Linked DNA regions of Tamandua tetradactyla. The protein of the gene in region 2 binds, or shares a complex with, the protein of the main gene of each other region. Links are inferred from orthologs where the notes say so. Each region holds a gene or a part of one and is shown on either strand. Other genes may lie near its edges.

What was found.
Region 1: METTL14 (region 2) and WTAP share a complex: the UniProt entries of both Homo sapiens proteins name them as parts of the WMM complex. The link is inferred for Tamandua tetradactyla from reciprocal best matches to the Homo sapiens genes METTL14 and WTAP.
Region 3: METTL14 (region 2) and RBM15 share a complex: the UniProt entries of both Homo sapiens proteins name them as parts of the WMM complex. The link is inferred for Tamandua tetradactyla from reciprocal best matches to the Homo sapiens genes METTL14 and RBM15.

The regions. Positions count from the first base shown.
Region 1 is NC_135337.1:63,501,586-63,509,027, reverse strand, and holds the start of WTAP (pre-mRNA-splicing regulator WTAP), read right to left. Parts: upstream 3,248-7,442; 5' UTR 2,903-3,247; intron 2,770-2,902; exon of another isoform or gene 2,593-2,769; intron 2,243-2,592; exon of another isoform or gene 2,139-2,242; intron 1-2,138. UniProt on the Homo sapiens protein: Associated component of the WMM complex, a complex that mediates N6-methyladenosine (m6A) methylation of RNAs, a modification that plays a role in the efficiency of mRNA splicing and RNA processing.
Region 2 is NC_135350.1:2,275,281-2,282,481, forward strand, and holds the start of METTL14 (N(6)-adenosine-methyltransferase non-catalytic subunit METTL14), read right to left. Parts: upstream 3,016-7,201; 5' UTR 2,475-3,015; coding exon 2,409-2,474; intron 1-2,408. UniProt on the Homo sapiens protein: The METTL3-METTL14 heterodimer forms a N6-methyltransferase complex that methylates adenosine residues at the N(6) position of some mRNAs and regulates the circadian clock, differentiation of embryonic stem cells and cortical neurogenesis.
Region 3 is NC_135337.1:12,585,537-12,593,691, forward strand, and holds the start of RBM15 (RNA-binding protein 15), read right to left. Parts: upstream 3,248-8,155; 5' UTR 2,962-3,247; coding exon 93-2,961; intron 1-92. UniProt on the Homo sapiens protein: RNA-binding protein that acts as a key regulator of N6-methyladenosine (m6A) methylation of RNAs, thereby regulating different processes, such as hematopoietic cell homeostasis, alternative splicing of mRNAs and X chromosome inactivation mediated by Xist RNA.

The sequences.
Region 1 (7,442 bases), on a different chromosome or scaffold from region 2:
AGCTAGCTAAAGTTAAGAATGCAGAAGTAATGTCAATTAGAAAAAATTCAAAACTGGCCAATTTGGCTACTATTGAGCAGATTTCATGGTTTTAAAATTATGTGAGGATTTCAGTTACTTATATGGCTAATTCAGAGGTAATGTCAGAATCACCATCTACTTCTTGATGACTTGATACTGAGAAACAGCTAATTATTCCATTTTGGTTGGCTGGATGCCTAGCATCCCAGTTCCATTTTCCTTGGCTTTTTGCATTATGATCCTAAGTTATGCAATTTAGCTTCCTCTGAACAAAGACGCAGGTCCCAGCCAAGGCTGATGAAAGTAATCACAACTGAATATAAGAAATCAATAATCTGACATCAGACTAGCCTAAGCACTGTAGTAGAAAAATCACAAACTGGAAGACCATCTTTCCCTGACTCTTCTAGCTACCAGCCATGTGATTTTGAGCAAGTCATCTAATTCTCTAGGCTTCAGTTTCTAAATCAGCAAAGAGAGGCTACCAATTTTGCCTACCTCACAAGTTGCTGCAAATTTCAAGGCTTTCAATGACATAAAGTGCTACAAAACAAAGAATTTTTGAAACAAAATACTAACATGAACATAAAAGAGGACTTCATCGTGTATTTAATAAAGATTAAATTCCACCAACTATATTTTCAAGGGTAGAGGACACTTAATGTACAGCACAGAGTTCTAGCCTTATGGAGCACCTTATTATATACAATGCACTGTACTATTTGGGGAATATTACAGAGCTTTTCTCTGATAAGCTTAGTAACCGAATGAAACAAAATATTTAGAGGCATCATTTCTTAGTACATTTGCATCGATTTAGAAAAAGAAATAGCAAGACAACAGAAAAAGAAACAAAATGATAATATAGAGAAAAAATACAAATAAAAAATACAAAAAATATATATAAAAAAATTTAGAGGCAGAAAAAGGGGGGATAATTTTTAAAAAGAAGAATAAAATTAAGAAACTCTCTTAAGTCTTGTTTTGTTAAAGAACTCGCCAACACAAAATGCTGAATACCAAAATAACAAATACACCAAAGAAAAATGATCAAGATCACTAGGTAAACAACACTGCTAGGTAAACAATACGCTGAAGAAAATTCTATAATACATACATAGAAGACCTAAGGAGCTATGAATGCTGTAATGCACTACAAAAACAAAATTATTACAACTCTCACCTCTGTATCTTAAGACTACCACAGATTTTCTGTATCATATAAACAAACTCATTTTTGACAAACAAGGCACAAAAACATTTTGCGCAAACGACTTGAAATTGGAAAAGCTAGATACTATGGATTTCTTTAAACTAGATGAGGTAGGTAATAATCAGCAGTGCCTAGGACCCACCATTATTACTCCTTTCTTCCTTTAGACTCTGCAAATTATAGCTATTTTGCCCAAGTCTCCACACTATCATGTGTGTAAAAAACACCGATCACTTCGCTATCTCCTCAGAAAAGATCTAAAAAGACTCCAGAAACAACGCCTACTCAAACCCTTAAATTTTAATCTAACCGTATCAGCACGCCACCTCGTGGACTGCAATTTTTTTTTTTTTTACCCAAATGGCCTGATAAAAAATGCTAGACAATGACATGTGTAAATAAATAACAATTTGCCACTTTGAAAAGATTCTCAGATTAAAAAAAAAAATGGGACTGAGCTACAAAAAGTAAAAGTGTGCCTACAATGTAGAACATTTGATGGCCAAAATTAAAAAAAGAAACGGATAGAACTTCGAGGTAATAGACTCACGACTTCCACTTACCTTCACCCCAACGAAATTAAATTCAAAGTGAGAGAAAACTAGATAAAATGGGAATAAACACAACTCAAGACTTTAACATGAAAAAGAACAGTTATTTACTTTAATGACAACGTTAATTCGAATTTTAACATAGCTCTTTAGGCTCATACAGCCAATTGACTTTCTTCATAATCAAAACAAGAACTTTGACTTTCCCACTTTGTTTTCCCTACTGACTTATTCTTACAAGCATCCAGGTCAGACTTTTAAATCTCATGAAAATCTCGAAAAAATTCAATGAACTATTTTCTGACTCAGAAAGCATGACAAGCGTTTAAAAATGGAAGTCTACAGGAGACTACCTGCAGCGATAGCTTACTGCGTGACGAGAAATTTAGGAAAAGGAGGCTCATTTCTTCCCCTTACTGAACTCATTCGTGCCGCTGGGTCCTCCAGATCCAGACAGAGGAGGGAGAGGGGGCGAAACAGAGGCGGAGAGAAGGCGAGCAGGGCGAGCCGGCCCGGCCTCCGCGAGGGGCTGGCCTTCCGGCCCACCCGAGGGACCCGCCTCGCTCCCGGGCCCCGGGGACGCGGCACGGAGGGAAAATGGCCTCGGGGCGGCGGAAGCGTCTCCGCAGCCGGGTAGCGGGGCGACTAACGGGAGGCTGGCGCGACCCGGAGGTCGGCAGCCCGATTGGCCCGTGGGTTCTGCCGCCCCTCCCGGGACCGACAGGCCGGGCGTGCCTCAGTCGGCCGGCCTTAGGGGTGAACGCGATGCCTTTCCGCGGCGCTGCCGCCGGCCGGGCCCACACCTACCTCTTCGGGCCGAGGCCGCGCTGGCGCCTTCAGGTCATATAGGCCGAGGCCGCGCTCCCCGCCCGCGGCCCGTTGGGCCCAACTCGCCGTCCCCGACCGCGCTGCTCCTCACGCCGCAGCCCCGGCTCTCCCCTTTATTTGCGGGTCTCGCTGCCACAAAATGGCGCCGAGGGAGGAAATGAGGTTCCGTCCCCCATCCCCACCCTCCTGCGCTCGCGCCCCGCCCCGCCGCCTGCCCCGCCCCGCGGCCCCTCAGCCGGGAGCTGGGGCGCTACCGCCGCTCCGCCATGTTTGCGCCTCGGCCACTCACCGAGAGGTCGTCTACCGGATGCCGCCGCGGTCGTCCGCCCGCCGCCGGGCCCTGCCCGGGGACGAAAAGAGACGGGAGTGGCGGTGCCCCAACGCAGAGCCCCGAGGCACCAGTGGAGGCGATTTCTCTCCGTACCACGGCCGGGCCCCTTCCCCGGGTCTGGGCGCGCGCCCTCGGCCTCGGGATCTGACAGGAGCGGGGGGGAGGGGCACGGACGCGAAGTAGTGGCGGGGGGTGGGTGAGGAGATCGGGCGCGGAGGAGGTCGGGGTTCAGCCGCGGGGCATCACGGGAAGAGTGGCGGGTCGCGGTCTTCGCCGGGGAGGGTGGGAGCTCTCCCCGTTGCCAGCTGCGGCTGGGGCGCGTGCCCTGGCGGAGGGATCCCGACGAGGGCGGTGCGTGGCGTGGCCACGTGGTGACTGGTGTGCCCGTTTTGACGATGCTTCCGCGAGCGGGCGGGCCAGGTGTGATGTCAGGCCGGGCAGGTTTGTTCGCTTCGCTGAACTTCACTTTGTTAGTGAGAGCTGAGAAAGTGGTACACCGCGGCCGTCGTGCGATGCAGGCGCACGACCTCTTGGTTCGTCCCTGCCCTGGCATCTCCGAAGGCGAAATCAGCCATTGTTGTGCGGCAGATGGAAGGTTGTGCCTCGCCAGCGGCTCTCAGTGCACCTTGTTAGTTCAGAAAGGAAGCGAAGGCGAACCCGGTGAAGTTTTCATGAATCCAATAAAATAAACTTTGTAACTTGAATATATTCCCTTAAGACATGATGTCGTCTGGACCGGTTTCAATAAGAAAGATGGTTTTTTACCTGGTCTGCATGAAAACAGCATCTTCCCCTTGTAGGAGAGGGCAGGTAATTTTTTGGCTCGGTCAGCCTTACCAAAACTTTATCCCCAAGGAAGGTGTCCTGAGATGAGGTGATCTGTAAAGATAAGGTTTAAGTATACTAGAGATCTTCAAAGGTCCAGTCCCAGTAAATCAGATCAATCTGGAGAAAATATTGCAACTTGTATTACAGAAACTCTTAAAAAACGGAAGAGACCAAAATCCTAAAAGCAAAATGGGCAAGGACATGAACAGACAGTTCAGAAGGAAAAAAAAATATATCAGTGGTCCTTAAACATAAAAAGTTGCTCAACCTCACAGAATAGGACACAGTGAAGTTACAATGATCAGATTGGCAAAAACCACACGTTGAAATCACATAGTTGGCAAGGTTGTGGGGAAACGTGCTCGTAAATTTTCTGGTGGGAATGGAAAGCGATTCAAGCTCTACGGAGTACCAAAATTACATATGCATTTATCCTTATACCTTGCAATTCCATTTCTAACCCTAACCTTATTCAGAACATGCACTTCCACAAATACAAACAAAGTATACGCAAGCCTATTCATTGTAGAGCTGTTTTCCATAGTAAATGTTTGGAAATAACACAAATACCCATTAGTAGGAACTGATTGGATATGATAGATCCGTATTGTGGAATTCGATGCAGCCATATAAAAGAATGAGGATGGTATTTATGTCTTGCTTTGAAGTGAGTCCCAGGGTATAGTAAGTGATTTAAAGTGATCTTCGGGGCATACTTACTTGGGGTAGGGGTGGGGGTGGGGGAATAACACTGGAAGGGTATGTTAGAAACTAAGTAATTTCCAATAGAGAGTGGAGGGGACAGAATTAGTAGGAAGACTTCTCTGTGAATACTTAAAGTTTTACATAGCCAATAAGTAAATAAAAAAGGAAACAAAGTAAACCTCAAAGTACAAAGCAAATTGAAGCAAAGGAACCTAACTCTGAATCAAATTGGTAACATTATGTCACAGGGAAATAAGAATTATTCCCTACATCTTTTGGCCACAATACTGTTGCAGTTTATCTCTCCCCACCCCCCCCACCCCCCACCCCAGAGAAGCACTGCCACCAGCAAGCATGCCCAGGGCAGTGCTATCTTTTTTTTTTTTTTCATGTAAAACTGTAAAGTTAAGCACAATCATCATCCACAATGTTATGTTATAAATTCCATGTCTGATCCTCTAGCTTTTCTTCTAGTGGCATACACGACCCTAGACTTCCCCTTTCAACCATACTCACTCTCACAGTATTTCTTGGGTGGGGTTTATCCTAAGGATGAAGAAGAACTGGAAAAGAATCCTGAACTGTATTCAGTGGTTTATAACTAAATATTTTGAAACTCCATGGTAGAATAACACAAATATATTGATGTTATTGTGTGTAAAGAATTTCCGAGTTAAAATGATATCCAAGTACAAAATCAAAGATCAGAAGATCCGTGTGTATATTAAATTTAAATTGGAAATATAAACTTGAACGTATAATTAAAATAGATTTCCTAGCTCAGTGCACTTCAGGGCCTGGAAGCAGTAAGGCCACCAGCTGTGCCGGGCAAACCAGGGTAGTTGGTCACCCTACAGTAACAAGAGCACACCTAGCACCCAGATCTTGGTTTCTAGTTTCCATTTCCCTCTAAAAAAGATCCAGAGCTCTCTAGAGAATGGGCTGATTCTAGTTTGGGGGCACGGAAAGTTCAAGATGAGTCTGAGATATTTATTCTGGATTGCTAAGGAATCCCTTAGGCTATTGGGGGGTATGTAAATAGGACATAGGAGAACAGGCAAAACCTATGTACAGTGATAGAAATCAGATCAGTGGTTGTCTCGGATGGGAAGGGAAAAGAATAGACCTGAAATGGGTATAAAGGCACTTTCAGATGTGATGAAAATGTTCTGAGTCATACTTAGGGTGCTAGATACCCAAATATGTACATTTTTCAAATTTCCATCAAAGTGTCCCATTAAAATGGTTGCATTTTAGTGTATGTGCAAATTATACCTCAGTTTAGTAAATTTTTAAAATACTTAGGAGCCTACTTGAAAGGTCTCTCACAGGCCAAAGTTAGGGCAATTTGAGCCTCAAAAAGAAAATGGCTATAATAAATTACAAACACTGAATGAAAAATATGTGACTTCATATGTTATACTCAGAGAGAGGGAAGAAAAACTCTTCCATCATTGGAGGTGCCTATTACGCTAACTTCATACTCTGAAAATGGGTTGATAAAAGAATAGGATTTACCCTGCCTTTTAAAAAGGATAACTGGTTCATCCCCAGTCGATGTGGAAAAATTCTTCTTTATAGGATGCCAGCTAATACATTTAGAATAAATGGTAGAATTTGAAAATAGCCATCATGCACACTCCAGTGAAATAATTGATTCAAACAAGGATTTTCAATGAACTTTAAAGCTTTTAGGTAAAAGGTTACTGGTAAGTGGAAAATTCACATGGCGCCCATGTATCACCCCCATATCTTACTTATCTAATGATAAAGAAGAAAAACACCTGTACGGTGGAGCCATCTGGTGGTCCCCAGCTGAACTAAGTGGTCAAATTTGGTATCAGTTTTGTGGGACAACCTGGTAATATACCTCCAGTTTACAGAAAATATAGGAAAAAGAGAAACAGTACTAGTGCAAGTCTATCAAAATAGTAGGAAAAGTCATTATTCAGAAAAAAATGTTATGAAACTATGAGCAAAAAGTTTTTACTGATCACCCGAGTTGGTACAATCCTCAATAATAGCAATATTTACTGTTTTAAATAGTACATACGGTTGACTTAGACTGATATTAAATAAATTGGCCACTTCTTTCCCAATAAACCTTCTACTTAGCCTGTAACCTATATTCCTACTACTTTGATTTAGGAATCACCTACTAAAATACTGAGAAGAGGGAGGCCAGAAATAAAAAGAAAAGACATTTGCAGTGAGGCTGGTCTTCATCACGTGGCACCCAAGAAGTTTGGGGATCCTGGAGATGTCCAGAATTGGTGGCTGAAGAAGTTTGTGGTGACTTCCCAGAGCTCAGAGCTGTGAGATTTCTTGGGTTGGATTTATCGTAAGGATGAAAAAGAGCTGGAAAAGAATCCTCAGCTGTATTCAGTGGGTTAATTATGTGCGATTATGACTCTGCATACATCATTGTTTCACAAGACAGTACCTCCGCTCATTCCATCCTTTTTGTCTGGAATCTTCTTCCCACTCGTCCTTACCATGTTAACAAAGGTCATCTTTAGCAATTAGCCTAGAGACACCATTATTATTTAGCTCAGTCTCATTTCCTTTTTACTTTCAGACTGTTCCCTACTCACATGCCAACCCAATGTGCACAAAACTTTCAGATTTAACTAACATCTAGATATTTTAACCATAATAAAAGCTAGCAATATTTAGTCTCCATTTTCTTTGTGGATCACAAGGAACTCCACTAGCACTGGCATGCTACAATTTCTTTTTAAATTTAGATTACTATCGTAATTTTAACTAGTAGTTATAATTTTAAATATGTTACTTCATTAAATATAGTTCATCTCCTTGAACCATAATGATGAACACATTTCTAGACATTTTGTTTTAAATCAATATATCCATTATATACCCAAGAAACATTTACTAAATACCAGCCACATTGTATCAAGAATAGGGTCAACAAAGGAGATTTTAATGCCCCAAATTGTGGCTG
Region 2 (7,201 bases):
AAGCGCGCTAGCCTCCTATATTCTTGAATAGCTAGAAGGAAAAATATGAGAGAATCATATAGTAGCCTATGACAAACTCTTGGATCTATCCTGTAACCACTTTTTGAAGAGTGCTTTGAAAACTATTGCTTTTTTTATTTCTTCACCTTGTATATGTTTTACTATACAATAAAAAAAGTTAAAAAAAAGCAAATCAAGGAAACTGTACATGAGTTGTGCTCTATTCTGATTATTTCATTAACCATTTATGTTTCTTAAAAAGGTTACTTTGTGCCAGAAACAATGCTGAGGTAGGGAAAATTTAACCTGATGGAAGTTAAATGCAAAGACTTTGTACTCAAACTGTTTATATTCTATATGATAGCTAAAACAAACAATATATAATAGTGGGCTGGACAATAAGTGTAATGAAAGCTCAAAGAATGAAGAGTCTAAGCCAGGGGTCAGGAAAGGTTTTGTCATGAAGTTCAGACTTTAGCTGGGCCATGCAGGAGAGATGGAATTCAGAAAGGAAGGAGGACAAAGCCTTGTTTAAAAAGTACAAAGGATGCATGGATGATTCAGTGGTACATTGCTCGCCTGCCAGACAGGAGATCGGGGTTTGATTTCCGGCCCATGCACCAAAAAACAGAATCACAAAGTATTTACACAAATCAATTTATGGAGAATAATAAACTGGTCTTGTTCATATGGAGAAAAACGCACAAAAGGCAGGCTGAAATAAGTTAGTAAAGAAGGAGTCTGCTGACATCAGGCATCCTTATGTGAATGGAATGGTTCGTATCCCTCTAGAAGTCTGGTTTTGGGGAGGCAGCTAGGTATACTGAAAAGAGCAAGGAAAGGCCTAAATTAAAATCCCAGCTCACATACTTAACCGACTTTGCAGGCTTGGGCAAGTTACTTAAATTCTTTGAGCTTTATTTTCTTCATCTCTAAAATGCAGGTTACATGTAACTTGATGAGATAAGATAACGTATGTAAGAATCTTAGCAAAGCCTGGTGCATAATTAAAAGGAACTTAATAAACAGCAGCCATTATTAAATTTCCTGTACTATGCAAGCTTTTAAGGATAGAGATAACCGATTATTCATAGCTGAAATGCCAAAGCCTACTCCAGTTCCTGGCATAGAGTAAGACACTCACAACAAAAAATTATTATGAGCGTATTTTGAGCTAAATCTTTTAGAAGTGTGAATTCAAAACTAAGGAGTAGTAACTTTCGTTGGTGGCAACAAGGAGCTAGGTATTGAGCATTTTTGAAGAAACATTATTTTTTAAAAGATGGGAAAAAGAAGACTTAAAAAGGATACCTGATTTGTCTAAGATCATACTGCCAGAGGGACAGAAATAGGTCTGATTCCAAATTCCCACGTTTAAACTACACCATCAATCATTTCATCAGATTATAAAAAAGGGTACGTTTCAGATTTCCCTTAACTAAAAAACCAAGATTTATAACTGAGAATACAAGGCAGATGCCTCATTAAACGCTACGAGCATTTTCTCCAGTATTTCTATTTATCTGAATTCCAGAATGGGATACATTGCCTCTGAGTTTAAGCAGAGGTGTGTACCACGTGGGTTCTGTGTATTCTAGCAATCAGCAAGTATTAATTTACTCATACACAAGAAGCAGTGAAACAGAGTGGTTTAGAAGACAAGCTACGGAGGGTCAAATCTGGACTAATTTCCTGGCCAAGAGGTCAGAGTGAAAATTACTTAACCACTGGAGCCTCCATTTCACTACTTAAGTGAGGATAATAGTATCTATTTCAGGGGGCGCTGTGACTGATACCGAATAAGAATTCAAGTTTTAATTGTGGGTGATGACAATACTGTACATAGCACAGTGGACTGTAATATGCAAAATGCAGAATATAGAGTTTACACTTAAGCTACTTCAAACGCAGACTTTAGACGTGGTAATTCCAATCAAATAAAACCATTTCGTGGGTTTACGGAAAAGACAATCTCAGGTGCTGACTCCAAGGAAAGGCAAGTCACGGAGAACAACTTAAACAGTGAAGAGAAGTTTAAGGGATTTTAAGAGATAATAAGTCACTTTTCACTGCATGTCTTGCTACAATAAATTACCATTACCGTGGTGATTTACTCACAAAACCCAAAGCTTTGCATCCCCACTATCAAGTACCGTGACAAACACTTGGCGGGATTCGATAAATGTTGCTGAAGACTCATCGCGGCATTTGGTTTAACCACCACACCGACCACGGGAGTGTCTAGAAAATTTTCGGGGAGCCGCGGAAGTTGAGAGATAAGAAGGGGGAGAATCAGGGATCATAGTCGCGGGACCAAAAAGTTCTGGACAGGGCCAAGGAATAAGCAGAGAGCAACGCGCACGCGCATTCGAGATCCCTCCCTGCACGGGCCACCCTGGGCCGCGGACCTGCTGCGCGAGGAGCTGTCGCCGTAGCTTCTGCCGCTCCCGGATCTCCTGCAAGCGGCTGTCCATGTCCCAATACCTGTTTTTCCACTACCCCGAAAACGTGGCACTAAGTGGATGAAACCCCGCTCAGTAATTCTTCTAAGCGTGAAACACTGGATTCGCCAGGAGGTTCCCGGAAACCGGCACTTCGCATCCCTTCACAGTCGGTATTTCCGGCTCGGCGCGGATTGGTTGGCCAGCCCGGAAGTCCCTCCTCCTTTTGGGTGCCGCGGTTTGAAGCCCCCGAAGAGGTCTGAGGAGATGAGGCCTGTTCCGGCGCGGAGGTGGTCGCCGCGGGTCTCCGCCGCTACTCGATCGCTCGTCCCGCCGGCGTGGGAGTCTGAGTGTTGTGGACTGTTTGGATTGCTTTTTTCCCCGTAAATTCCCATTCCTCGTTTTTTAAATGATCGAGTATGGGTTTTTTCCTGGGAACACAGACTCGAAGCAGCGTCTCAGGTTTGAACGCTGGTCTGTCAGGTGAGTGGCGGCCTGGGCTGGTTCCCGACGCCGCGAGCCTCGCGGTTCTCGGTTCTCAGTGAGGTCCGGGGCTTAGCCCGCGGCGAGTCGTCAGGGCGGGCGGGGCGCGACGCCCGGCGCCGTGGGGGCGTGGCCAGTGCGGCCCCTGCTGCTCGTTTGCGTGCGGGAGGGGTGAGCCCTGCGCTGCCTGGGCGGTCCCGGGCCCCGCGGGTCCTTCCAGAGCGCGTTTGACCGCATCTCCCCTCTGTGTGATTTCGTTCATGTCTAGAGGTGTGCGGCTACAGGGAGCCCTCCTTTTGTTGTACTTTTGTCTTAGAACTGATCTTGGAATACGGAAGTGAGTAAAGACCAGCCTACGGAAATTGCCCCGTTGGCGGTGGGGTAAGTCTCCTCCCTTCCTTGCCACGCGGCAACGACCAGTCTTATTCAAGTTATTATCGTTGTTATTTACTGCATTTGTCATCTTATTCCACACAAGGTGGTGGAGGTGGACCAGGACGTCGTGTAACTTCAGTGTTAATTGAAACGTATGGCAAGTAATTGCCAAAATTAGTAATGGTCCTTATGCTTTGAGAGTGAATTTAATTTCTGAAAATAATAATAAATCATGCAGATCCAACCAGGTGAGTCAGGCTATGCCTAAAGTGAGCAAGATTATATTCTACTAATTGCCATGTATTTTTTTTTAGGTGCATGGTCCGGGAATAGAACCCGGGTCTGCCATGTGTTTTCTTTTGTTGTTTTTTTTTTGTTTTTTTTTTTTTTATTTATTAAATGCACCAACATACAAACACAAACATTCTTACCATATGATCATTCCATTCTACATATATAATCAGTAATTTACAGTAACATCACATAGTTGTATATTCATCATCATGATCATTTCTTAGAACATTTGCATCAATTCCAAAAAAGAAGTAAAAAGAAAACAGAAAATAATTCATACATACCATACTCCTTACGCTTTCTTTGATTGATCAGTAACATTTCACTCTACTAAATTTATTTTAATATTTGTTCTCCCTAATATTTATTTATTTTTAATCCATATGTTTTACTTATCTGTCCATGAGGTAGATAAAAGAAGCATCAGATACAAGATTTTCACAATCACACAGTCACACTGTGAATGCTATACCCTTATACAATCGTCTTCAAGAAGCATGCCATGTGTTTTTTTAAAAAGTAACTCGTGGGTGGGCCACCCTGGCTCAGCAGGCAGAGTTCTCACCTGTGGTCGTGGAGACCCGGTTGTATTCCACATGCCTGCCCATGTTTAAAAAAAAAAAAGTAACTCAAAGGCCTCTTCAAAAGAGGAGTTCTAAAAATGGCTCTAGTAATGGCTACACTATCTTAAAGTATATACATTTTCTAGGAGCTTCTCCTTTAAAAGTCAGTACTAATTTGCAGGGATAAGTTAAAGTATGCTGCTTTACAAATTAGTTGCTACTTTACCTTCCAGTTATTTAAGTTGAACACTGATTTGAACTGTTTACCAATTAATGAGAATAGACATTTGTTCACTAAAATATTTAGTGATACTTACTGAGCTTTTTATATTGCAAGCATTGTATAAGACCCTAGATCTGATTATCAAAGACCAAAAATCAAACAAGCCGATTTTCTTTATGGAATTTTCTGTCTAGGGTGAGTAGGTATTTGTGTGTGTATTTTTTTTTTCCTGGTAAGATACTGTGCAGGTTATTTGCCTGTGGTCTTAGAGCCCCATACACACCTAAATTCTGATCTGGGATGATGGTGGGACTGGGAAACTGAAGCCTACGTTTCCCAGATTTCCTTATCATATGGCTTCCTATGGAGATTGTGCCAAGAGATTTCCTAATATAACTTATATGGACAGTTTAATTGAACATCATAAGTACATGGAACCTCTAATAGGGCATGAGATTTTGTAGGTTTGTTCAGAATGATGCCCTGATAAATCCCACAGTGATTTGAACAGTGAATAAAAAAGTATTTTCAAAGTCTCCTTGGAGGAAATGGTGAGAAAGGGGGAAAATTCAGCTTCCCCCATTTGGAGAATCTCTGATGTTCTCACAAGCAGTGGGGACAACCAAATCAGTAGGCGGAGCCCTCAATCTTGGGGTTTGTTGAGATGAAACTTATACCTACAAAGGACAGATTAAGCCTACTTAAAATAAGGCTTGAGAGTCACCCTAGAGAACTTCTTTTGTTGTTCAGATGCGGCTCTCTCGCTCTCAGCCAACATGGCAAGCAAACTCACCACCCTCTCCCTCTCTATGTGGGACATGACTCCCAGGGGTGTGGACCTTCCTGGCAACGTGGGACAGAAATCCTAGAATGAGCTGGAACTCAGCATCAAGGGATTGCGAAAACCTCGACTGAAAGGGAGAAGATAGAAATGAGACAAAATAAAGTGTCAGTGGCTGAGAGGTTATCCTGGAGGTTATTCTTACACATCTTATAGTTAACCCCTTTTTAGTTTATGGTGTATTAGAGAGGCTAGAGGGAAGTGCTTGAAATTGTAGAGCTATATTCCAGTAGCCATGTTTCTTGAAGATGGATGTATAATGATACAGCTTTTGCAATGTGACTATGTGATTGTGAAGACCTGTGTCTGATGCTTCTTTTAGCTACGATATTGACAGATGAGTGAAAAATATGGATTAAAAATAGAGAATGGGGGAACAAATGTCATAATAAATAGAGAAGATTAAAATACTAGTGAACTATGAAAGGGAGTGGTAAGGTGTATAGAAAAAAAATAGGGAGAACAAAGCTTAAAATCTATTGAATAGGTGGGGATACTAGTGGTCAATGAGAGGGAAGTATGGGATGTGTGAGGTTTTTATTTCTTTTTCTGAAGTGATGCAGACATTCTGAAAATGATCATGGTGTTGAATATACTACTATGTGATATTGTGAGCCATTGCTTGTACACCATACATGGAATGTTTGTATGTTAAGACTGTTCATGTTTGTATGTTGTTTTGGTTTGATAATACAAAATAAAATAAATTAGGGAAAAAAAAAAGATTGTGCCAAGAGGAAGCACAAGTACCTCCAGAAGGTGGAAGATGGGGAGCAGCTATTGACTTCTCTAACTCTTTGCCTCTGGCATCACTGGGAATGGCTTTGACCTTTACACAGTCCCAAGACCAGTTGCAAACAGCCCCTTTTTTTGGTGATCATGCCTTGCCTTTTACCACCCTTATGGTAGACCCACAGCAGTGAGTGTCCTTTTGGACTCTGACAATACCACTTCCTCCCTCTATTCCACCAGCTCTAGGACTGGTAGTTACTTCCTGCAGTAGAAATTTCTGTTTTAATCTTGGCTTTCCCTTTTTTGTGCTTAGAGCTTTCACCACCTGTGAAGCCAGTTCTCCATAGTTAAATGCTGTTTGTTTAGAATCCTTCGAATGATTCTATCTTCCTGCCTGGATCCTGGACTTACAAAGATGCAAATGTGTACTATGATAAGGTATTTACAAAGCTGTCAGAATCCAGCAATGTTGGGGTAGGGGCTATTAAAGTTTTCACAGAGGAGAGGATATAAGTATGAAATCTGTTTTTCTAATCATTGAATTTTAAAATGCCAGGCCAGTGGTTCTAGTTTGTTTTTTTAGTTTTCGATTGGGGTGTGTGTGTAGAGTACATGGCCAGAAATTGAACCCAGTGGCAAGCAAGCATTCTACCACTGACCTACCCATGCACCAAGGCCAGTGGTTCTAAACTGTTCCTTCTAAACCATGTTTTCCCACATCAGCATGTCCATATGTGCTCATCAGTAATATCTGCTCATTATGACAACGTAATGGCCAGTAGGTAGTGGGAGATGGGTGGTGGGGGGTGGGGGTAAGATGAAGGAGAAATTTGGAAAAACCCCACAAATAATTCCTACTCTTTGAAGAGATAATTTCATTTCTAAACACTAATTCTCTGAAGTAATTAGAGAGCCACATAATTTACACTTCTCCCCAAAAGCCCCTTGAGAATGACTGCTATAAAACCTATATCAGAATGCCTGTTGCACATACTCTAGAATGTCTCCCAGAATCTTAAACTTAATGTGGATAAAACCTAAATTTGTCTTCTACCACCAGCCTTAAAAAAAAAAAAAAAAGCCAGTTCCTCTTTTCCAGCACTTCCTACATCAGAATACCATCAGTATTCTATCCATTTTCTCAAATAAAGAGGTAGTCAGTCTCTTCCTCAGCCTCCATATCTGCTCTGTGACTCTACCCCTACCACTCAGACATGTACACACACCACTCTTCATTTCCACAATCACA
Region 3 (8,155 bases), on a different chromosome or scaffold from region 2:
ATTGCCTTTGATGCTGTATCCCATTACACATCACAAAACAGGAACCATGTAAAAGTAGTAAATACAAATTACACATGTATCTTAAGACGCACCACGGACAATGATCATGACCAGGTAATCTTCTTCAGATTTAGCCAGTGCCTTGGCAGGGGAATCCAGGAACTGCTGGGAGAACTCACAGGGTGGGAAGGCATGAAGGACCCCGGTGTTCTCCTTGTCTTTGTTGCCCCCTACAGGGAGACTGATCACCCCAGCGGCCTGCTTTTGCTTTAAATAGGACACGAGGTTCCTAAGAGGCCTCTGGGTAGAGGTGGCAGTATCTGATGTGGCCAAAGAGGAGGAGGACCGGCTGTCAGAACTTCCAGGCACAGCCAGAAGAATGGCATAACCATTGGGCCCTGCCACTTTGATGCGTCGAGTTACTTCATCCAACTTGGGCTGGTCCAAACGGAGACGCTGAGTGATCTTGAGCTGGGCTACCTTGCCTCCAGTTGAACCCTCCACAAGAAGACTACTAGCCACTTGAAGGTCACCCTGCAACAGATGCATGTTGGATGGGAAATTGCTGTTCTTCAGTAGAAGCATGCCCTGCCAGGCCAAACAGAGTTTGGGAGAGGATGCTGCTGCAGGTGCTGCCCCACCATCCTGTTTCTGGGAAGGGGATTTCAGCTTCGATGAAGCAGTGCTGGTGCTAGGTGCACTCCCATCTGACCGGTCTTCTTTTTTCAGAGGGCTTTTACCCTCGGTGGGAGCAGCTGTCCGGTGCTTCCTATCCCGTTCTGCTGATGCAGAATTTTTACGGTCTCGCTTGTCACCTTGGCTCTTCTCCAAACTACCTCGTCTGTCTCTGATTGGAGAGGGCCTTTCCAAGAGGAGAAGACGGGAAGATCGATCATTGTCACTGTTATAGCGATCCCGGCTACTGCTCAATTCTGGACTGCGGTCAGGAGAAGGGGCACAGTGACGTTTTCGTGGACGGTCACTATCAGGGGACCTATCCAGATGCCGTCCCCCACTCTCCTCAGGCAGTCTTCGCTTCCTAGGCTGGTCTCTGCTGCTGGGCAGATCTCTCTCACCTCTGTCCCGGTCCAAGGACCAGCCATCACGCCTGCGATCAAGGTTATCCAATGGCTCATAAGCAGGCACAGCAGTTGCTGCAGTCCGAGTGCTGCGTTCACGGACTGGGGGCGGTGGTGGCACCCAATCAGAATCAGGATAAAGGTCCCTGTCACGATCTCTGTACAGTAAGGGTGGTGTCCTGTCCCGAGCACCTCTCAAAGGGTCAGGTGCTCGATGTCCAAAAGCATCTGTCACCAATTCGTAATGAGTCAGGGGAAGAGGCTGCAGATATTGTTGTTGGTAACGATGTTCCGTGTCTGCAAAGTCTACTCTAAGGCGACGGTCTGGGCCACCAAGTGGGAAGCCCCGCATATGGGTCCAGGCAGCATGAGCTGCATCCAGGCTTTCATACTGGATATATGCCCAGCTATCACCTTTGCGGTAGTCTATGGTGCGTATAGTGCCAAATCTGTCAAACTCCCGTGCCAGGGCAGCAAGAGGCACCCAAGGTCCCAAACCGCCTACCCAGAGGCGGGTGGTGGGTGTGGCTTTACCATAACCAATTTTTATAGGATTCCGAATTATAATTTTGCCAGACATTGCTAGTTTGGCTCGGTGAGACATGTCCAGGTTCTCGAATTTGAGAAAGCCGTAGGTACTGGTCTGGCCTCGAGAAGGCCGCTTGATGTCTACTTCTGTGATGACTCCAAAGCGATCAAAAGCCCTTCTTAGATCACTCTCTGTCACAGTGATGTCTAAGTTACCCAAGAAAAGCGTCCGGTTTGCTCGCTGATCATCCTCAGGTGAAATCTCATCCACTTCTCTGAAAGGAGCCGCACCGGCTCCACCTCCCACTCTTGGCTCAAGACTGTAGGCTGGACGCACTCTCTCATAAAACGGATAGTCTCGCTCTCTCTCCAGCTCTCGGGGCAACGGTGGCGGTGGTGGTGGAGGCAGGCGGCCAAGAGCCAACTGCTGCAACCGGTAGTCTCTGTACCCCAAGGCAGCACCACCAGGGGAAAGTGATCTCTGGCCTCCACCACCTCCCCCAGGAGGGTGCCGGTGTCCACCTACAGAAGCCCCAACCACACCGCCTGACGCAGGATAAGTATCTTTGTCTAAAGGAGAGCGGCTGCGGCGTCTGCTCACATACACAGCCTCTATCTTCAGGGGCCGGTCATAGAGCACTAGGCGGCCTCTGGCATGCTTGGCCGCCCGCGCGTCCTCTGGCCGCCGGAAGTTCACAAAGGCTACCCGTTCATCCCCGCTGCCAGAACCCGAAAGATGACTGATTTTGACACTTACATCACCGAAGCGTTTGAACTCGTGAAATAGACCGTCCTCCACTGCTTCGTCGCTCAACTGGGACCCCAACTCGCTTATCTTCAGCGTCTTGTATTCCCCGCTGTCCCCACCACCAGGAGTTGAGGAGGCGGCCCCAGAGGAACGTGACTCCCCGCCTCCACCCCGGGAGCTGCTGCGCGACTCGCCCCCGCCCGAGGAATTTTTGGTGCTTGGGGAGCTGTAACTATGTAAGCGGCTACTGGCGCTGCCCCCACCAGTGTCATACTCGCGGCTGCCACCTCGGCTGCTGGACTTGTCCAAATGAAGGCTCCGCCGCGACCCGCCGCCGCCGTCGGTCTTTCCGCTGCTGCTCCCATTGCTGCCTCCAGAGCCTCCTAACTTCTTGCTCCGCTCCGCGCGGGAAGTCGAGTCCTCACCACCACGAGAACGTTTAGCCTTGACTGGTGAGCGCTCTTTTCCCTTCATCGTTGCAGGTCGTCGCAGGTCGTCTCCGCGGAACTGATTAACCCGCCGCCGCGCGCTCGTTTCACACAGCGGAACCGCACGCCGCCATCTTGGACTCCGCCGCGGAAAAGGATCCCGCCCCGTAGTCCTCATTGGTCAATTAGCATCTCTGTTCTACAGTCTCATTGGAAAAACTGTTTGTCTGTCTTTACATCTCCCCGCTCTCCGGGAAGGTGCCCGCCCAACAACTGTTATTGGTCTCCCAACGCCCTAGTCAGAGTATCTCATTGGTGGTATTCATTGTCTATCTTAACGGTTCCTCGCGCCAGGCTATAGCCCCGCCCCTGCACTCTATAGTCACCTGACCCAAAGCCCGGAGGCGCTGATTGGACAAAAAGTCTGCCTTGTAACGGTACTTCTTGCGCGGCGAAAGCAGCGTTCCCACCTCTTCATCCTTTTCATTGGTTTGGGACCCCGTCCTTTAACACACTATTTGGAAAGTTGGGCCATCCGTTTTGACATTTTTTTTCTCTGAGAGGCAGTCTCACACGAATCTCGCAGGCGCGAGCGCTCTCTTTCGATCCCCTTCTTCCAACTCCTCCAGCGGCCAAAAGAAATTTAAATTTGATTGGATGTTGATGAGGAAATTGATAGGCTGGAATAACTGTCCATCACTCGCTTAAGGGGAGAGACCCATATACTGAGGAGGCTGACTGAAGGTGAAAACTAGAACACGCGCTTGCTGTGCGACGTCACTTAGATGTCGCGAGATGGTGATCATGAGCCAACTCCGCCTCCCCGCGCTTTCGCAGTTCACCCTTCAAACATTTGTTCGGTCCCGCGGCGTACTTAGCGATGCTGCAGCCCGTGGAGCTAGAAACTTCTGGGCTCCCCACCGTTCTGCCTGTGGCAGGCGAGGCACTGGGTAGGCCGTCCGGCTGTTAGAAGCTGTCCCGGGGTGTGTGCGAGGCACCACCCCCTCCGGCCGTTTCCCCAGGGCGCGAGAGAGCGTCCCCCGAGGTCACTGGGACCCGCGCGGCCGGCAGGGGCCAGGAGTTCTCTTTTGACACGCGCGGGGTCAGACTAAAGCCTCGGGGTGACGCTGCGATCTGGCGCGTTCTCTCAGGGTCGGGCAGCGAGGTGGTAGCGCAGCGGGGACGCAGCCCTAGCGTGCCTCGCCCGGGAGCCGGGCTTTCCCTGACGCTCCCGGTTCCCACCCACGGAGCGGCGGTAACCCAGGGGAGTGACCGCGATCCCAGCGTCTCTGTTCGCGGGCGTGGCGGGAACTGTAGGGCTATAGCGGACGTATGTCTGGGCTTCCTGTTTTATGTTGCGAATGCACGTGGTTTGTCTGTTCTTGGCGCTGTAGTCTAGCTGTATTTGTTTTCATACGCGTTACCTCTCCCCTTGAGATAACCGGGTGAGATTTACACCCGCTGCAGATGCGCCGCGCTTTCCTGCCCGCACCTGCCCGCATCCCCGGCTATTCTGCATTAGAACCCAGTAGCGCAGCCACCTGGCTGTCTCCAAATCCACCTCTTTTACCTCCGTCAATGATTATCCAACTCTCATTCTTTGCACAGACCTTTATTGTGTCAGACGCTGTGCGAGATGCTGGGTGAGGCCGGGAATTGGCTGACACCGAGAATTTCACCGTCTGCTGGAAGGAAGTAGTGCCGAGTAAGAATAAGATCCCGAAAACTTGAAAACTGCCTAAGACGGGTTCGCAGCTCTGCATTAGATCTGCTTCCCTTTTTTAATAATTTTAGGGGAAGTGATGAAGGGGCCTTTCATCTTTTGATAAGATCAAAGAAACCTGAAAGAGGCCCACAATTAAGTGGATATGTAAAACATAAAAATCCACAGTGAAATAGTGTGTAGATATACCCACTGGATTAAAAGTAACTACTATGGGCGCCAGCTACCATGCCGTGAGATTCCCCAACTGAGGCAGTCTAGTTGACAGTCCCAACTGAGCACCCGGGTGACAGCCAGCACCAAATAAATGCCCGTGGGCGTGAAGCATTTTCCATGTTCCAGACCATTCAAGCCTCTAGGTGACCGAAGTCCTGTCAGACACCAGATGCCACATAAGAGCCAAGCAGCTTGAGACATTAAGCCTACAGCAGCTGATAGATAGATAGTAAATCATTATTTAAAAAAATAAACTGGCTACCAAAAGTTTCATAAGGTGTCTAGTATGCTACCATTTGTGGTTTTAAAAAAATGTATATAAATATTCATACCCACACATATATATGTATCTTTGTATATTCGTAGAAACCTACTTGAAAAATACTGAAGAAAATAGTTACCAGGTTACCCTGAGGATGGGAACTGAGAGTCTGGAGTAAGAGAGGGAGACTTAACTTTTCATTGTGTATCATTGTTTTGCTTTTTAAACCTTTGTTTTACCATGTGCCACTCTTTCAGTTTGAAAAATAACAATTCTTTTTCACTTACAAAGAATACTCTGAAGAACCCGGCACCTAATTTCTGGGGTTTTTTGGGGGTTTTTTTTTGCCTTCTTTTATTTATTTATTTATTAAACATAACATACAAGAATATTCTTACTATATGATCATTCTATTCTTGATATATAATCAATAACACAATATCATCACATAGTTGTATATTCATCATCATGATCATTTCTTAGAACATTTGCATCAATTCAGAAAAAGAAATAAAAAGAAAAAAATTCATGCATACCATGCCCCTTACCCCTCCCTTTCATTGATCACTAGCATTTCAGTCTACTAAATTTAACGTTTGTTCCTCTATTATTTATTTATTTTTAATCCATATGTTTTACTCATCTGTCCAAATTGTAGATAAAAGGAGCATCAGACACAAGGTTTTCACAATCACACAGTCACACTGTTAAAGCTATATGATTATACAATCATCTTCAAGAAGCATGGCTACTGGAACACAGTGCTACATTTTCAGGCACTTCCCTTCAGCCTCTCTCTCCATTATACCTTAAATAAAAAGGTGATATCTATATAATGTGTAAGAATAACCTCCAGCATAATCTCTTGACTTTGAAATCTTTCAGCCATTGACACTTTATTTTGTCTCATTTCTCTGTTCCTCCTTTTGGTCAAGAAGGTTTTCTCAGTCCCTTGATGCTGAGTCCCAGCTCATTCTAGAATTTCTGTCCCATGTTGCCAGGAAGGTCCACACCCCTGGGAGTCATGTCCCACATAGACAGGGGGAGGGCAGTGAGTTTGCTTGTTGTGTTGGCTCAGAAAGAGGCCACATCTGAGCAACAAAAGATACTCTCTGGGGGTGACTCTTAGGCCTAATTTTAAGTAGGCTTAGCCTGGTCCTTGCGGAGATAAGTTTCATGCAAACAAACCCCAAGATTGAGAGCTCGATCGATTGTTTTGGTTGTCCCCACTGCTTGTGAGAATATCAGAAATTCTCCACATGGGAAAGTTGAATTTTCCCCCTTTCTCGCCATTCCTCTGAGGGGACTTTGTAAATACTTTTTTTATTTACTGTTCAAATCATTCTGGGATTTATCAGGACATCACTCTGGAAAAACCTACACAATCTCATGCCCTACTCAAGATTCTGTGTATTTATGGTGTTCAATTAAACTGTTCACATAAGCTATATTAGGAAATGCACTAACCAAAATATAAATTTTGTATCAAATAAACATTTTTTCCAGCACCTAATTTGAACAATTAACAAATCATTTCAATCTTGTTTCTCTCTAACCTCTTCCCACTCTCCCTCTCTCCATTATTTTGCTGCAGGCTTATCTAGTACATTATCTGTACCACCGCACAACCCCAGTTCTCCAAGGAGTTCTGGTTCCTTTAAATGGAAGATGGTATTTAGAGATAAGAATCTAGACACTAGGGGGTTTTTTAAAAAAAACTTGCAGTATTTGTCAACACTCGAAATGCTCAAAGAAAAAGCTTTAAATAGAGAGTTTGAATCTATTTTAAGGTTATATTCCTACAACACAAAGGGAAACTGAAGGAACCCCGTTACCTGATTACTCAAATCATTAGCTGATCCAGATAAACCAGTCTCCAGAATTAATACTTTTGAACTAAACTGACTTGCTTAGTTGACTCACTGATTAAAGAAAAAGATAATAGTTAAATCAGTACAGTTTCCCAAAACTAATTATAGGGGTTGAGGAAACACAAGAATTCAGGGAAAGAATTCCAGTTTGTACTGCCTGCTGGACAAGCACCAGTACAAATGTGTGGTAGTGCCTGAGGCTTCCAGGCTTGACTTGCTGCTTGACATACCAGGGGGCATGATGGAAGCAACTGCTCACAGTTGGCTGCACTAGTAATGCTTGCCTGAGGGAATGGTAGACTTTTTGGAGACGAGAGGACTGGTGGGATGGTAGCCTTCTTGGAGACAAGAGGACTGGTAAGTTTTATGGTTAGTCTGTAAAGAGCTTTACCAGTGAAAGAGCCAAAACATAATGCCTGTAATGTGTGTGTGTTCACAGTAGAGCTAAATAATGCCAAAATATGTTGGATCCATAATGTAGTTAAAAGAAGTGATTTGTTTTATTTTCTTTTCCTTTGTCTTAAAGCATGAAGCTGTTTAGTGAGTTTTTATCAGCTGATTTTACACATGTCTTTTAGAGGGGTTTGAGGTAGGATTAAAGTGACCCAGCGTTTAAGAGCCAGAACTTTGAAAACTTTTTCTGGTATTGGTGAGGAAGTTGAGATTCGGTCCAAGCTTTCATTTGGTCTCCTTGTGATCAAATGGCCGGATTTGTGAGGTTACCTGACCTGGGGTGAAGAGGATCTCTCAGTGGTCAAGAAAACAGTTAAATTACCAACAACTTCCCGGAGCAACATAGCAGCATGTTGATCTCTCCTTTTCAGTGCCCTTATCCCAAGTTAGGAAATAATAAGGAAAAGTTTCATAGCCTGTTCTGGAATGAGGGTGACCCCTTGGAGCCGTGCAACTCTAAGGTCCTAGAAGACACAGCCCAGCAAGAGAGCAGACACAACTAGCTTTCTATATGAGTCCTTTTTCTGTCTCCTTTAAAATCAGTTTTAGCTTTAAAAGGAAAAAGCAAAAGAAAAGTTATACACATGGAAGAAAACTGCAATTTTTAAAAATGTATGTTTTCAAACAAATGCCCCTCCTTTCACCCTCTTCCTGGATTTTATTCTTTTTGTATCCGCCTCCTCAATACACACACACACACACACACACACACACACACACACACACACACACACACAGTTGTGATTGCAACACAAATTTTGTCTTGGAAGTTCAAAGCCATTTATTTCTTGGTAGATACAAAATAGGTTGATGCTGGGAACTGAAAAAAAAATTTTCCACCCACAAA